2 linked regions of the Arabidopsis thaliana genome follow. The protein of the gene in region 1 interacts with the protein of each later gene in a pairwise test. Each region holds a gene or a part of one and is shown on either strand. Other genes may lie near its edges.

What was found.
Region 2: the proteins of AT5G40620 (region 1) and GCR1 interact in a protein complementation assay, tested with the Arabidopsis thaliana proteins (one large-scale study listed by BioGRID).

What each region holds. Positions count from the first base shown.
Region 1 is NC_003076.8:16,267,292-16,275,345, reverse strand, and holds AT5G40620 (uncharacterized protein), read right to left. Parts: upstream 6,190-8,054; 5' UTR 6,084-6,189; coding exon 5,691-6,083; 3' UTR 5,513-5,690; downstream 1-5,512. Other genes in the region: AT5G40630 (Ubiquitin-like superfamily protein), read left to right, coding at 2,917-3,220, 3,751-3,944.
Region 2 is NC_003070.9:17,825,384-17,834,952, reverse strand, and holds GCR1 (G-protein-coupled receptor 1), read left to right. Parts: upstream 1-4,532; 5' UTR 4,533-4,738; coding exon 4,739-4,921; intron 4,922-5,115; coding exon 5,116-5,147; intron 5,148-5,231; coding exon 5,232-5,401; intron 5,402-5,530; coding exon 5,531-5,625; intron 5,626-5,773; coding exon 5,774-5,875; intron 5,876-5,977; coding exon 5,978-6,034; intron 6,035-6,120; coding exon 6,121-6,264; intron 6,265-6,355; coding exon 6,356-6,426; intron 6,427-6,512; coding exon 6,513-6,639; 3' UTR 6,640-6,714; exon of another isoform or gene 6,715-6,798; 3' UTR 6,799-7,000; downstream 7,001-9,569. UniProt on the Arabidopsis thaliana protein: Together with GPA1, may regulate the cell cycle via a signaling cascade that uses phosphatidylinositol-specific phospholipase C (PI-PLC) as an effector and inositol 1,4,5-trisphosphate(IP(3)) as a second messenger.

The sequences.
Region 1 (8,054 bases):
AAAAAAAATTATAAAGACAAAGTAAACTTAACTCTCAAATATAAAAGTCCGACCAAATTGATGGAGAAAGCCGGCCAAAGTCTTCAAATTTCGACGGCATCACGATCAACTCATGATTCTCCAAGATACGAAGCCCATATGAAATGTGTCTAAGTTATAATAAAATTTCAGACTCTTTTGGACGGCCTAGTGTACTTTAGACATTGGCCCAATCAGTACGGAACAAAAACTTGAAGACAACAAACTTCAAATCAAACTTATATATAATTTGTTGAAACATTACCATGAACTGGTAGCGAGAGAAGATTGGGCCTATGTCTAAACTTATAATTTGTTGAAACTTCAAACTACTACGCCGACTAGTCACTATCTAATAGAAACATTACCATGAACTGGTATAGCGAGAAAAGAGCAAGATCACATGAGCAAATTTTTTGGAAATTGTCCGAGAATCAACCTTGTGTTCCAAACGATATTTAATAGAATACATTCAAAGTTATTTGTGCAATGAGAAATAGCTTATGTTGTGTACTCTTTATTTCCTATGCCATTGTTAAATTACTTAACGTGAGACCTCAGCTTATTTAATCAACTTTGTTTTAGTGTTAAGTGGTTGACATCGGACGTTAGTGTTCTATGTTTCATATTTGGAATTACTTTTGAGTATTTTTAGAGATTTTAATCTAATATCAACCATTCCAAGCAAATTTGATTTTTCGTGTGTTGACAAATAAAGAACCCACTAACTACTTGATAAGTTTTGATAACTTTATTTATATCTCTTTTACTTTTAATTTTTCCGCAGTTACAATTAAATTATAATAGACTAAACGATGCTATATGCTCACGACGACTTAAACAACTAAACAAGTACCAAATAATCTCTTTTACATATAAGCAGATTTTATTCTTTTACATACAATAGTTAGTCATGCATAACGTGCTTGCATTAGTAACTCTTGTACTCTGCTTAATATTTTTTGTGACCTATCGCGTGATTCGTATCTATTTCGAATCCCTTTTTCTATATTGTACGAGAAAACATTAACTTGAAGAAATTAAAGTACTCTTTAGACATCTTTAGAGTATGTTTTTATCCCGTCATAAGTTTTAGATTTTACGGTATGTTTTTATACATAATTAACAGAAGAATTATAGAATAATAATATTTGATTCTAGGAAATCGCATCAAATATATTGACATGCGTAGTGTATCTCTCGTCATATTTGTCTGTTGACCGGCAGACTTTTAGATTTCTATTTCTCTTTATTGCTTTCGTGAGGTTGAATCTCAAGCCCATTACGCTCCACAATTCCATGTTTTTATAACCTAAAGAATGCAAAAGACATATATACAAGTTCCATGTTTTTGTGGGTAACTATATTATCTATTTATCTTTATCCTGAAGCTGATGATGAATCGATTAATAACACATATCCAAGTTTAAAGTCTAGCAACAACACAATTAACATGTCACGTCGTATAATTCAAATAGATTTCCCTTACATGTGAATGATTTTAGTTTTGTACATTGCAATGATTTAAGCAAAAGAAAATCGTTGTTGTTTGAAATTTATAAAGATTTCAAATCAATATAATAACAAAAAATGTAATCTTTATGCCTTTTTCGACCCACGTGGGTTGATACCATAAAGGATAACCAAACCGGCCTTCTATATCATAAAGTAAGCCTCAAGGGACATCTTTAGAGGCAAATGTTGAATATAAAAGATTTTATTCACCTAACTAACAAATACCTTATTAACTAACACAAAAATCCACACGCTTTGCTATGACATGACACGAATTATAGAGGTTTAGAAAGTGTATGCAAAGTTGTGAAAATTACGTTTTTTTCCTTTAACAACGAATTAACAGAAAAATATTCACAACCATTATAAAAATAGTATTTAAGCACAATTAGGTATGTTCGATCTGATTTTATTTGTTTTTGGTTCAGTTTTTTTCAGTTTATAAAATTAAGAAACTGAATATCAAATGTATAGATTTGTCATCAAACATAGGTATTAATGTTTTATATCATGAATTGAAACTTTTATAGAAACCTCCCATGTTTAGAAAAAAAAAGAAAAAAATTCAAATGAAGTACATCACATATTGAGAAATTGTACAGACCACCACAGAGAAAGAGAGTTTGGTAGTCATCATTATTTTTAGACAATTAGATTATATTGTTGAAATTAGAGTTGTTCTTGACAATAATTATGTAATAGACTAAAAACCAATAATAAAGATATTTGACTCCTATATTTAAACAAAACCATGTTAAAAATGGACAAGGATGGGAAGTCCTATAATGGTTATCAAATTCGGAGAAAGAAGATAATCTTCCAGAACCATGCACTGGAAAATTAGTTGATGTTTTGTAACTTTTATTCCTTATTTTTGGAGAATTGCACGACATAATCTAAAAACTAGTATAATCAAGGTAATAAATCATCGAGCTTTCAGTTATGAAAAAGATGAACTACTATAAAACAGAATTTTTAAAACTGATCCACAAAGTTTCACAAAATATATTTTTGTTGACTAGAAAAATTTAGGGTTTTTAAGTCCCTAATCTCCTCAAATTCGGGAATAACCGTTAGTAATACTTTTTGAAGGTATAAATCTTCATCCCCAAAGATTTGGACTAGGGTGAAAGTTCAATTTTCATCACAGAAAGATCGGGTCATTTTGCCACTAATCTACCACACATTTGATAACTAAAGAAGTAAAAAAGAATTTACACCCTAATTCCCTTTATTTCTTTAGCTTTATAACATATGATAATTTTGTTTAATAATAATTTATCAATATGTGTACCAAACCTCATTTTCTATAAATATAAGCCAGCACATCTCTCTTCTTCTTACAAGCAAAAAAGAAAGAAATTAAAGAGAGAGAGAAAGATAATGGGAAAGTTAATGGCAAAGAGGTTTTGCATTGGGTTTGGGTGTGGAAGAATTGGGACGGGCAACAATAAAAGATCATCATCTTCTTCTTCTTCTTCATCGTCATTTTCATCATTATCATCATCATCTTCTTCTTCATCGTCATCATGTAACAATAACAACATAAAATGGGAGATGAGGCCTGGAGGGATGCTGGTTCAGAAGAGATCAGAAGATTCTAACACTGAAGATTTAATCAGCCTTAGAGTCTCCACTGTCTCTCAGCTTTCATATGAAATCTCCATTGATGCCAACTCTACTTTCGGTAATTACGTATCCTCTTTTAACATGAAAACCAAAACAAATTTACGTCTCTTCTTCATATATATATTATATAGTTGACAAAGATTTTGTTGTATAATAGGTGTATAAGAATATGATTGTTTTGTTGTTTACAAAAATAAAAGTATACATATATATAACTTAAAAAAAAATTTGTTTGTTGAAAACAGCTTTCAAAAAATCGTATACTTACTCAGTATTGTTTTGGTAAAGCTGGCTTTAAAAATTTTGATATATAAATCGTCCTTATAGATACTATCACCGGTCAAAGAGTGCCAATATATAATACTATTGATTAACTCATCAAGATTTATGCATGCAAGTATGCAACTATAAAGGGTGATCTATATATACTGTGGCAATTAAATATAACGCGTTTGATATTTATTCGAGTAACTGGTTGGTTAATTACAGGACAACTAACTATATTTACATTTAAAATATGGTTAGAGCATCTTTTGATACAAAATGATCTCTTATTATATAATTTCTCATTTGATATATATTTTTCAGGTGAATTGAAGATGATGATAGCAATAGTGAGTGGAATTGAGGCAAAAGAGCAAAGACTCTTGTTCAGAGGAAAGGAAAGAGAAGACAGAGAATACTTACACATGATTGGTGTTGGAGATGGAGATAAGGTCTTTTTATTACAAGATCCTGCTTTTAAGGAGTTGAAACATATTCATCTCCCAATTACTGTCTAACTAATTCCTTACTTTATTAATTGATTAATCAATCGATTAATTAGCTCTAATCCCCACTTATTAAACACTCTCTTTTATAAGTGCTATAAGTTCTTGATTTTGCAGGAGTAGTATATGCTTGTTATTTCGCTGTATCGTCTCCCATTTGATAATCTTTGAGTTGAGTGATTGATTGTATTTTGCTAAATTGCTAGTCCTATTGATTAAAGTTGGAAGATTGAATTTTCTGAGTGTAACATTGTATGCTATGATTTTAATGTCAATAGAGTTATGCGTGGTATGTAATACTAAGTCTTAACAAAAAATGTTTTTACTGATTTATAATTATCAATATGAATAAACATGTATTAGGAGATTATCTACGGATCCGATTTGAATCAACGGGTCTAAGAACAAGCCTGTATGAAATGTTTTGTTATTGCTATAATAAATTAAGGTTTAAAAAGTAGTTACAAAATAACGAATGGTTAGCTATGAAAATAACTAAATAAGTAACTAAATTTAGAGTTCGAAGTTTACATCTCTACCAAATAAATTTCATCCGCTATTGATAGATTATTATGTATGCTAACAGCTGTTTGCATGATTTGTCAAATGTTAAAAAATTAAAATTATATTGTAAAAAAGGATACAATAGATTAGAAAAAAAAACACAAGCCATGTGTTAAATTAGTTTTAGGTATAACTAGTTGTAGATTAGACTAGAAGTATGGTTAATTAGCTTTTAGAACTAATTAATAACTTTGTATGTGTTACAATCATTTGCCTTCTTTTTCATTATATTATGGTGAAAAGTTAACGTTAATATATATTATATCGCACGCGTGCAAGCCGACAACACAAAAGCAAGTGGTTTAAAAGCAATGGTGAAGTACAAAAAAGACAATAATAAATATAATTTAAATGCTCTTTATTTGTTAAGAGAAATAAAAAAGAACTAATTGAAAAGTTGGAGGGTAAAAGAATTTATTGGGAAAAAGGCTTATAGAATTTTCTTAAGAGTGTGATCGACTACATAATAAGTTCGTTATAACTTATAACACCTAGTTTGGTAGTTCAACTCACATTGTAAACGATTTTTTTTAGTTTTTATGAACAAATACTAAACTATTTGTGGTCCAAATGGTGATCTTAAAATGGATGACGAGTGTGTACTACTAAGCAAATCAAAAACTATATATATGAGTTTAAAATAAATAAAAATAATGAGTTGTAATAAGCAAATCAAAACAAATAATGTGTTTAGAGTAAAATAAACAGAATAAACTATGTGAAACGAGCATAGCAAAATATGATCATAATAATTTTTATTTTATTTTTTTCAAAGTAATCATAATAATTGCTGTATGATCTAATAATGATCAAATTCTAAAGTATTTTTTTTTATAGCATTTCATAATATCAAAATGATATGATTCAGATTACTCTATTTAATTAAGTTCACAATATAGTTGACAGTATTGAAAAAGATTTCTGCAAGTGTAAATCGATTTTGATTTTAGGCCACTGAAAGGACAGATTTCCATTTATCTAACAAATGGTAAGTTTTTGATTTTGAACTAACCAACTCGATATGAAAAAAAAAACAGTTCTACCGTGCTGCAAGCCGTATCATACATATGTAGTTATTCCAAAACGTTTATTGGATCTTAGATTGATGCCACAAAAAAAATCCATTAAATTTACGTTGCATGTGTACAATTAATTAATGGATTATGAGCCAAAACAACATCGTTTTATTAACCCTCAAAATAAAAACAATCCAGCAGCAACGACAAAGACGACGAAAGAGGAAGAATAAGAAGAAGAAGCTGAGTCCTTAGGCTGATTTGCTTTCTTATCTGATTTACCTTCAGGTTGTGCAAACTCATCAGCTTCTTTATCTTCTTCTTCGACAAGTGGCAAGTCATCTTGCACGACTTTGACTCCATCAGGTGCTAGATTCATAGGGACTTCGTAATCAGAGTAATCTGCAGGAACGACCGTTGCGTTAACCGTGGAGATGAAGGGGGTCTCCGGAAAAAAAAAGTTTGTGCTATTTGACGGTGGAGAAGGTGCAGATGAATTGGCGGCATAAGCTCCACCGGCTAGAGCAAGACCTATGAAAAGAATTACGAAAGAGAAATGTTGTCGAGACATATAAATTTTTATGTATAGATTGATCCTTTTTCGATTCAATATCGGCTTTTAACGCGAAATGGTATAAATGTAGAGAAATCAATGAAGAAAATTGAAGAGTATGAATAAAAAGGAAAAAGGGAGATAAATAGGGGATTTAAAGCTATTAATTATGAGATGGATATGTTTGGTAATTTAAAACAGGTGTTAATTTAGACTCTAAACTTTAGAGTTTATGTGTGTTTTCCGTTGTGAATTAGCCAAAATTGAATCATACAGGCTGTGTTTTTCCACAGTTTTTAGAATATGGTTTCATATTTTTTTTAGCGTTTGTGGTTGCTTTTCGTTAAAGTGATAACTTTGAACTGTGCATGGGTTGTTATTAATTAGAGCAATACGTCAAACGGATTTGATAACACTATATATATATAAAAAAATCTAAAGATTGAAACTGATGGATCATAACACAAATATAATAATCTAATTAATTATAAGATAAAAGTTTCAATTGATAACAGTACATAATCGGTTTTGTTTCTAGTTTTGTGGTTTCTGTATATATCCATGGAGAGATTATGAACTTGTAAGGTATGTAATGAATATATTTTCATGTCTTGAATTTACCAAACCATACATTATATTATATAGTTTAGAAGACGAAAACTATGTCGTGAATTCGTGATACGTGGACTTCGAGCCATTTAAAAAAATATGTCGTGTACTCACTCGCTTTTCGGATCAAACCAACGCAAATCGTACGCCACTAACTAACGATAAAAGCTCACATAGATTGCTATATGACGCACAAAACAAATAGTGATAAGTCAAATCTATATATACATTTTCGATGAAGTACGTAAACATAATTACACTATCTAATTAACCAAACACATACTCTAATTTTTTTTCCTACGGAGCTTGTTGCGCCTAATCTAATCCAAAAGTGGTTCATGTGAAAAGTTACAAGTAGACGAACAAGCTACCGCATGACTCGGTTACTCAGTATCCGAACTCGGTCAAAAATAGACATTTTATTTACACTTTTCACGGTTAAGATACATTCTAAAGCATACTTGGTCTAAAACTTTCTAAACATATCAAACTCCTCAAAACTTTTGTATATCATTTTTTTTCCCTTCCAACTTTTGTATATCATATGTAGGTGTTTTCTAACCTATACATTTTCCAAGCTCACTATGAATTGAATGTTAGAAAGACTTGGAAAGGCACTAGTGACTAGACTAGTATTCAGTGGCGGAGTGAGAACAAATTTTCTTTTTATTGTGATCAATATTACAATAAACAAAAATGACAATATCTTAGTGATTTTGATATGTTGAGTGATTTAGACTGTTTTTCTCTCATAACCGTCGTATTCCTACTTATACCCAAATTTAAGTTTTTTTTTTTGTTTTGTCATCCGCTTTTAATTAAATCCAAATTTAAGTTTGGTAAAACAAACTTATAGAAAAAATGTTAAGTGTTCTCGAAATTTGAATCCCATGTATGCAAACAATTCATGTAATTATCATTTGGAACTAAGAATTTTACGTTACAATAACATATGGAAAATTCAATAGAAAAACAAATATTATGTAATTATGCATCTCGTTTTTTTTTGTTTTTTTTTTTACCCATCATACATCTCGATTTATGAAGTTTACGTTACACTAATTTATAGAAACCTCAATATAAAAATAAATACGCTAACACAATTATCAATCTAGAAATATAATTGTTTTTGGTCGGAATTTAGGAACATAATTAATTCATATTTGTTTTTAACAAAAATAAAATAAAAACTAATGATTTTTTAAAGATAATAATAACAGAAGTAAAAAAAAAAAGAAAAAAAAAGGAGAGGATTAGGAAGAGAGGAGGAAACATAGAGCAAATCGCCAAGATCCAACCATCGAAACATGGCGGCTTATAGAGAATTGAAGACACTGCTACTGTTACTTCCACGTAAACGTTTCTCTCTCTCTCTCAACG
Region 2 (9,569 bases), on another chromosome or scaffold:
ATCCGTTTGGAGGAAACAGTGGGCTTGAGGCCCACCAAATGTTTTGACGACTTTGAGAATAAGACAAAAGAATTTAGTGGTGGGCCAATTTTGTTTTTTGTCATTTGTTTTTCAGATGACGACGCGTCCTGTCCACGCGCCATCAGAAACCTAACACTTAAAAAGTAGAGAAAAGTGTCGTGTATCGATATAGCTTATAGGTGTATGCGTGTAATTGCAAGTTTGCAACCAAACAAAGTTATGGCTATGAATATGTGTTTGATTTTCCTTTAAAATTTACAATGTGTTACCTTAAATTATAAAATGACTTACCTAACTATAAAGGTTTATACAAAATTTATAACATTACAAGATCATTGAGGAGGGTATGAACCTAAACGATATAATGCTTATACTCATAATAGTTGAAACAATGAAAACCAGATTATTGTGCATATTAAAGAATCAGTTAAGCGAGAGTGACCCACTAATAATTTGTCTCACGTTGAGCTGCAAATGGAACAAAGAGCATTTGACGTTTATGATGGGACCATTATGTTTGGAATAAAAGTTTGTATGGTTATTAAGAATGACTAAAATTAAGTAAAAAGAAGAATAGCTTATTTATATGTATGTGGGGGATGAATTTAATTAGAAAAGCTTGAAAAACATGTTTAAGACAAAAGGGAAGATTGAGGACTGAGGAGTATGTCCTAATCATACTCAAACTCAAAGCTGTTAGTGACCATTGGTTTACAAGTTAAGTTATTGACTTATTTGAGCATTTTGGAGACTTTGATCATAATTTGATCATATAATGATATAGAAATTATTTGGTCCGTAAGGCAATTATTGGGCTATGAAGTTGTGCCTTGCTAGGTAAATCTACTTGCAACTATCTGCAATTTTATTGGGTTCTATACGGGAAAGAAAATTAAAAGGCAAGGAAAAGCCTTAATTAGATAGGAAATCATAACTCCCATATGATGAAAACGAGAATATCATAACTACATATGATAAAAAAAAAAGGATTATATAATCAAAATTGAAAGTGAAGAATGGAGGTTAACATATATTTAACCAAATTTGTAAATATGATTATGTTCTTTAATGTTAAGGCATATTGTTAAACATCTAACTATATAATAAGATATCTTGATGTATTGTTTCCGATGTAAATTTTGTTTTTCCGGACTGTTACCAATCATAGAGTTTGTTTTAAAATGGATGTGTGGTTGGCAAAAACAAGTTTATATATGTTTGTGTTTAATGATTAAATATAGTATGTCCTCAAAATTTTCTTAAGATATAATATTTAATTTATGAAGTAATCTTTAAGGAAAACGCAGAAGAAGTAAAGAGTTATATAAAATAAATAAACAAACTAAAATATTGTGTTTTAGTAAGACATATACATAATACTTGATCATCGAATTAAATATGAACACAAATAAATGTTAATTCCGAACCTGATTCCGAAACGTAGCAAAGTATATTGTATATATTACATTAGTGTAGAAAAGATATCATAAGTACGTACTATATATAACATGGTTATTTCAAAATAGGATAGATAGATATACGTAAATGATATACCATGTAAAGCTCTCAAGTAAGAATCGTTAAGATTAATTTGCGTGTGTTGTGCGAAAGAACTTCCGTATTTGTAGATTAGTGGGTAATTAAAGAAAAAAAATGAAACACAATGTAGTATAGGTAAAACTACAACATGAGATTTCTATATATTCAAGTTTGGTCGCAGATGATAAATTGATAACTGTGGTTTAGTGAAACAAAAAGAGTTTAGGGTTTGTATATAATAGAAACTAAAACCCATATATCCAACAAAGACATTGACCAAAGATCAATGAAATCGCTGTTTATTCTCCTTAATTTTCAAAAAGAGATATGGAGAGGCAGATGAAGGATACATATCACTTAAGGCATTAAAGAGAAATAGTACCTTGGAGATGAAACTCTGGAAGAAGGAAGATGAATACTGGTGATAGTCGTCTTCCCCAAAAAAAAAGCTCTTTACATTCTCATTAATGATGAGGATGATGCTCGCTGATTACACATGCAGCTCTTATATGATGATATTATATTCATATGTGACTATGTGAGTTCTTTATATCTCTGCAGGAATGAAAATGAATAGGTTTCTTATATGGAATTTCTTATAAAAAATAATAATATAAGCTTAATGGTACGAGAGATGTCTTGGAAGGGTTAAAAACTTGGGGAAACCGGAAGAAAAATATTGTTTAATAATTAAAGTATAAGGAAAACGAAAGAAACAAAAAAAAAATCATGTATATGTAAGTCATATGTAGACGTCTATTTCATAAATGGAGATCTATTTCATAAATGGAGTACGAATGAAACAATAGTTTAATACGGACAAAATCAGGTGTACCCTTTTTGTATGCAAACTATAACTAAAGATCGAATAAAACCGAAAGGATAATGACATGTGTTATAAATTATCCAAATTAGAAAATTGGATTAGATGATGGGTCATGTTCCTAGAGGAAGAGTATTTTTCCGTATACCTCTCAATTGAAGTAAACATTTCCAGAGTTATTTATGCCAATATCAATGATTTAGTATGTCATAGACTCATAGTAAATGTTTATTTATATATTTGCCATTTTTTTTATTTTATGGTTTAACGAATAAATTTTTTGATCCGTTGTTAATTAAGTCATCAAGAAGTTTTTTTTTAGAATATATTCGGACATGATAATGAATTAATCCAGGAATTTTGTAAGTAATATTAGCTAAAAAATTTCAGTACTTCACAATAATGTATTACTAACAATCACCTCGTGTATGAACTATTTGTATTTGACTATAGAAAGGCTATTATGTAATTCTCAGTCTGAGCGGGTCGGGATAATATTGCAACGTAACTAACATGTTTAGACAAGCCATCATAAAATTTCAATGTATGAAGATAATTCGTAATTGCTGTACTAATTAAATTTATGTAATTTTGTGTGGATTGACAAAATTCGTCTGTTTGGTTTTTGTACGTTTGTTGCCATTTAGTAGATGATATGTCATTGGGTAAATTAGCACACGAAAATCATTTAATATATATAATAAACAGTCATTATAACATGTATACGTAAATTATATTACGAATTGTGATAAGTCTAGCCACGGGGTTTACGACCAAAAGCAATACATAAATAATAATCAGGGAGATCCATGAACTTATATATACAAAGAGTGAGGACACGAGAAGCAATATGTGTCAATGTGTGGAAGAATGTCTCCATCATTAACCTAATTATATTATATTTTTATGTTTTATAATTTTTATGGTCTTCTCCGCTTGGTAGTTTTAGCCTTACAGCCATTAACTATCGTAAATTAGGGTACTAATACTTGTTATTTTTTTTGGTAAAAGGTGAAATTTTATACTATTTTTAGTTTGTGATAGAATTACAGAGAAAACTAGAAACAGATTAAAGCAATCTACGTAAATATAAAAACAACATTACAACTCAAGATGCAAAGGATCACTACTAAGTGGTCAAAGCCAAATTGCAAAAAGAAACACCGATTCCGAACCCGCGAAGCTCAGAAAATTGTGTGGTTGCCACAAAACCGAAGAACTGGAATCATCATCTTAATTGCCACGAGCAAAACTATCCAAGATCCGTCCACAAAACTTCAAGATAGAAGTCTACAACTTCTCTGAGAACTAACGCAAAAACGTAAAAGCAATCGTGGACTTCTATACTAACTCAACAAGATAGCAATGCCACTTAGACTTATTCGCCGCCTCTATTCAACATTCTGACAACCTAGCCAATGCTCGTTATTTGCTTATTATTAGTTCTTACGTACGTGTTTTATATTCGTTTTGAAAAACAAATAATTGTCGTTAATAATCAGCTAATAAATAGTATAAATTTATGACTTGCAAGTACAAGCTTGTTATATATATTACTTGCTTATATATAACTTATTTTTATTTGAATGTTTTGTGCTTAGGATGCTTGAAACTTTGAATGTTTTGTAATTTCTATTGTATATGAGATTTTTTTTCGATTCAAGTTGCAATTATTTTACAAGTAACAAGCAATATCAAATTATTTAGCAAGTAATAAGCCAAATCAAGTTATTTAGCAAATAATCATATTTTATATGTTATAACAAGTCCAAAATTCATTTACTTGAAAGGGGCAAAACGGGTCAGAAGGCCATGCCTAGGTATTTTTGTGCTCGGTGATTGATAGTATAGTCGTGTAGATAATTTATTTAAAAACAATAGTATACATAATTTGTTATAATATTATATATATATATATATATATATATATTTATTTTTATATAGAGTATACTATAAATAAGATTAATTATAAAATTAAATAGTATAATATTTACATGTGCATAACATAAGTTATTACCTAGTATAATTTAAATATTCATACATGTATAAAATTAAAATTTTCCAAAAATATGTGATAACTTGACATGTAAATAACATCATATAAATGTTTTTAATAATTAATATAGCATATATGAATTAATGCTTAACAAAATCATTGGGCTGGGCCTAAAGAAGTGCACTACGAGGAGTCCGGTTCAAAAGACACGACTTGACCCGACCGATCCGACCCGGGTAAGAGGTTAGCCCACCACGCAACGTCCGTCGGGGAAGATACCACGCGACGGAAACGACGAACACGAACAGCGGAAATCGTCAATTCAATCTCTCAGATCAGTTTTGGAATCACATATAACAATGTCGGCGGTTCTCACAGCCGGCGGAGGCTTAACTGCCGGGGATCGCAGCATTATTACGGCGATTAACACCGGCGCTTCGAGTCTCTCATTCGTCGGCTCAGCCTTCATCGTTCTCTGCTACTGCCTCTTCAAAGAACTTCGAAAATTCTCTTTCAAGCTCGTCTTCTACCTTGCTCTCTCTGTAAGTTTCCCGTTGTTGCCTTTCGCTGATTGTGCTAGATCTAGGATTATGTACTGTTTTGCTTCCTTCTTCTTCGATTATTCTCACTGTGAATTGTTACATCGCTAAGACGTTAAGTTCCATTGCGTTCTGAGATGAGTAGTGAGGGTTCGAGCTCTATTGCTGACTAATGGCAATGTTTTTAATTGTTGCAGGATATGCTTTGCAGTTTCTTCCTAATCGTTGGGTATGTTTATCTACTACTATTGGTTCTGGTGAATCTTGTTGAGATTATTTTGATAAGATGATTGTTACATCTTGATCACTGTAGGGATCCTTCAAAGGGGTTCATTTGTTACGCACAAGGCTACACTACTCATTTCTTCTGCGTTGCTTCGTTCTTGTGGACAACTACAATTGCTTTCACTCTTCATCGTACTGTTGTCAAGCATAAAACTGATGTGGAGGATTTGGAAGCAATGTTTCATTTGTATGTATGGGGTATGTAAAATGATACTCGTGGGTTTCGGTTCTCAATTGTTACTATATCCACCTAGGGTTAAGGATTAGAATGTGTTAGTATCTTCTTTGGTGATTTAGTAAGACTCTGATTTTAGTTACTTTTCTCAGGGACTTCCTTGGTTGTGACTGTCATACGTTCTTTTGGTAACAACCACTCACATTTGGGGCCATGGTGCTGGACGCAAACTGGTCTTAAGGGAAAGGCAAGTGAGAATGCTTAGTTGAGCATAAAGATTTCAATGCCTATCAAAAGGCATTTGAACTTTTTTGTTGCAACGCTGGGCCAGATGAATGTAGACTAGTATTTTATTCTTCGTTACTGGAACTCATATCACCTCTTGAATTTTGCAGGCTGTTCATTTTTTAACTTTCTACGCTCCTCTTTGGGGAGCCATTCTTTACAATGGGTTTACTTACTTCCAAGTGATACGGATGCTAAGAAATGCTAGACGTGTATGTAACTCTCTCATCTCTAATAACATTGTCTTCTGAAAGTAGTTCACAAACGTTACTGATACACTTGGCTGTGTGCTGAAATGGCAATGTTAATTTCAGATGGCAGTTGGAATGTCAGACCGAGTCGATCAATTTGATAATAGAGCAGAGTTAAAGGTCTGTCTTTATTGCCAATACTAGTTCTGTATCATGTGGCTGGATTTCATCATTAAAACCTCACTGCTTGTTTCCTGAAACCACAGGTGTTGAACAGATGGGGATACTATCCACTCATTCTAATAGGATCATGGGCATTCGGCACTATTAACCGTATCCATGATTTCATCGAGCCAGGGCATAAGATCTTCTGGCTCTCAGTTCTTGACGTTGGGACAGCTGCACTAATGGTAGCAAACCTATCAAATAAATAAGTTATAAAATTCGCCATAGATCATCTTTGCTCTTCCCGAGTCGATGTTCTGAATGTTGTATTTTCAGGGCTTGTTCAATTCAATAGCCTATGGTTTCAACAGCTCAGTGCGTCGAGCAATCCATGAGAGACTGGAGCTGTAAGTCACCACCGATCTCTTTGGTTTGCTATATTATTCCCAATAATCAATGAAGCTTGATTTTTATGAAACCCTTGGTCTGCTAGATTCTTGCCAGAACGGCTATATCGATGGCTTCCAAGCAATTTCAGACCAAAAAACCATCTGATTCTACATCAGCAACAACAACAGCGAAGCGAAATGGTATCACTCAAGACCGAGGACCAGCAATGACACTAACTTTCAACTAATACATTGGACCGATAACAAGAAGGCGGCGATGATAATAGCGTTTGGATGGAGAGATTGGTAAGTTTCCTCTATGATTGTTTTGTCTTTAATTTCCGTTTACATGGATCAGTAAGTGTGTTTTGTTTTGTGTTTCTCTCTTAGATATGGTGAAGGGGGGTGCACAACAGGTTGTCAATGTATATGAAACATTCTTTGGGAACACGAACTTAACAATTTATTTATTTTTGTATGAACTTTTTTATTGTGAGGTCTTCTGATCTTGATTTGAAATTAACGAACTTGGAGTTCTTGGACGACAATGTTGAAGAGTTTTGTTACGTAAGTCATATGAAAATACTATCACTTAAACCGGCGCCGTTTCTAAAGAGGAATTACAAAATTCGTATCAATCTTCAAAACCCTAGAGATCACCGCGATTTCTTTCTCCCCAAGACTGAACGACTCTGTCTTCAAACTCGGGTGGGGATTGAGATGGGTTTGTCTTTTCGTCTAACAGTGATCCAACAGTGGAGAAAGAAGAAAAGAAGACGAAGCCAAGCACTACTGGAGATTCCAACGGATGTGGTGACAGAGATTCTTACGAGATTCCCTGTTAAAACCCTAATGGATTCAAGTGCGTCTCAAAGCTCTGGTCATCTATCATACGCTCTCCATAGTCCATACTTTACCAGTCGTTTCATTAAGGTCCCATCTCAACGAATTTACATTTGTGTATCACATTTCGAGGACTACCGTCCCTCTAAAATCCTATCATTAGCTCCATCCGCTACTAGTCCATCTTCCTCCTTTGTTGTTGACCATCCGAGATAGGGGAGGCAAGATCTTACAAAAACTTAGTGGCTTCATCTGCTACACATTTTTGAAAAAACCGCGAATGTATAACCCTACCACCAGACAACTTGTGACCTTGCCCACCATAAAATTAAAAACCAAAACCTCGGCTCCAGAAAGGTCGAAGTGGTGTTACTATTTTGGACATTACCCTATTAACGAACAGTACAAAGTTACTCTGCTCAGTTGTCGTCGGATATTTTATTTTATCATCAGACCATTGGGTCTTTGACCTAAAACCTGGAGGTTCGTGGAAAAAGGTGACTTTGCCTCCCGTGGACTTTTATCCTCACCTTCCTCTTAGACAAGGACTATCATTGAATGGGGTTATACATTACCTGGCTTGGATTGATTCGTCTAATTATATGGTTGTGAGCTTCGACATCGGATATGAAGAATTCAAAATGATCGAGTACCTCACAGGGAAGAAGATGTGAGCCTGCATAGAGCCATCAAGAAGGTGTGTCTTATAGAATATGGCGGAAAAGTAACTGTTTTTTACCATACCGATCTTGAAGACAAGAGTACAGTGAATTTATGGGTTCTAGAAGATGTCAGGACAAAGGAGTGGTTGGCGAAAACTCTGGTTTTGCAACCTTGTCCGCTGCATTTGGTCAAGAACGTTAGATTGGATTGGAGTTAAAAGGTATAACTCAAAGTGGCAAGGTTATAATGACACCAGATTATTTGTTTGATATGTTGTACATTCTTTGTTGTGATCTGCAAAGTAATGATATTAGAGAGATTAAAATCAAAGGTATACATTACCATTATGTTCCTAAGAAGGGTGAATTTGTGCCTACTCAATTTAGTTTGATGTTTATGGATCAGAGATCAGAGTGAGAGCGTCATGTACTTAAAGACTTGAATATTGTAGCTCTAATGCATGCAATTGAGACCATAAAAGAAGCTGCATCTGTGGTTTGTGCAATACAGTAACCTTTCAAAAATGAATATGGGTCCATAACAAGAAGACGGCGTATGATACATAGCATTTGGATGGAGATTGGTAGGTTATTTTTGTTATGCCTTTAAATTCCTTATGTTAATGACTACCAGTCTACCACTATGTTGTCTTCTTCTTCTCTTGTGATGTAGCACAACCATTCGTCAATGTACAAAAATAACATTCTTTGGACACGAGAGATCAAAGGAACTACTGCATGATTACACTTTATAGATTCAAATGATGCAATCTCAAACAAAGTACAACAAATACATTTTTATACAAAAACAGGTGACAAACTTTTTCTAGTACTATTAGTACTGAACAAATATGTACTTCAAGAAAAAGGTGAAATCTGATGCCTTTAAAACATTACTACATAGACTACTTCACACAAATATAATCAACTCTAGTTGACCTGTATACAAACCTCCTCCTAATCATTTTTCTTGGTTATGTCTTTTTTTTTACTTTTTGTTATTTGTTTCAAGTGAACTTTATCCTTTTAAAAACTTTCTCGCATCTGAAAAATAACAATTGAACAAAACAAAAACACATCATGCGAAATCTAATTAAATCAAATCGATCAGTGAATAATAGTAAATTGATAAACAACAGATAAAAACAATCGGATCATATCCATCTCCTTACACAATTTCAATGCTTTTCCCTCTTTTTACAAATGCATTGATTAATGCAGTGAAAGTGACTAAACCAGGGTTGATTACTGTTTCCGCTTCATCATATGAAGAACAAAAAAAATCGGAACCCCGATGTAGTCACTTTCAATGCATTGATCGACGCAATAAACTGGTCAAAAACCGAGATCAAGCAAAAGAGAAGTACTGATCAAAGCTTCGGCAGAAACAATGGAATTTTCATAGAAGAGAAGGATGAGTTAGAGATAAGTGAGAGAAGGTTGTATATAAATATGAAGGAAGAAGAGAAAGAGAAAAGCGGCGGAGTTAGGTCGAAGAAAACAAAGAAACCCTAATTCAGTAATGGGCCAAGATGTGGATACATGCGGCCCAAATAAAGTTTACAATTTATAACACGAAGCTAATTAATTGGTGTACTACCAAGTAAACGGAAAAAAGTTGCAACTACAACAAGGCTCGTCCTCGTAAGCATGACG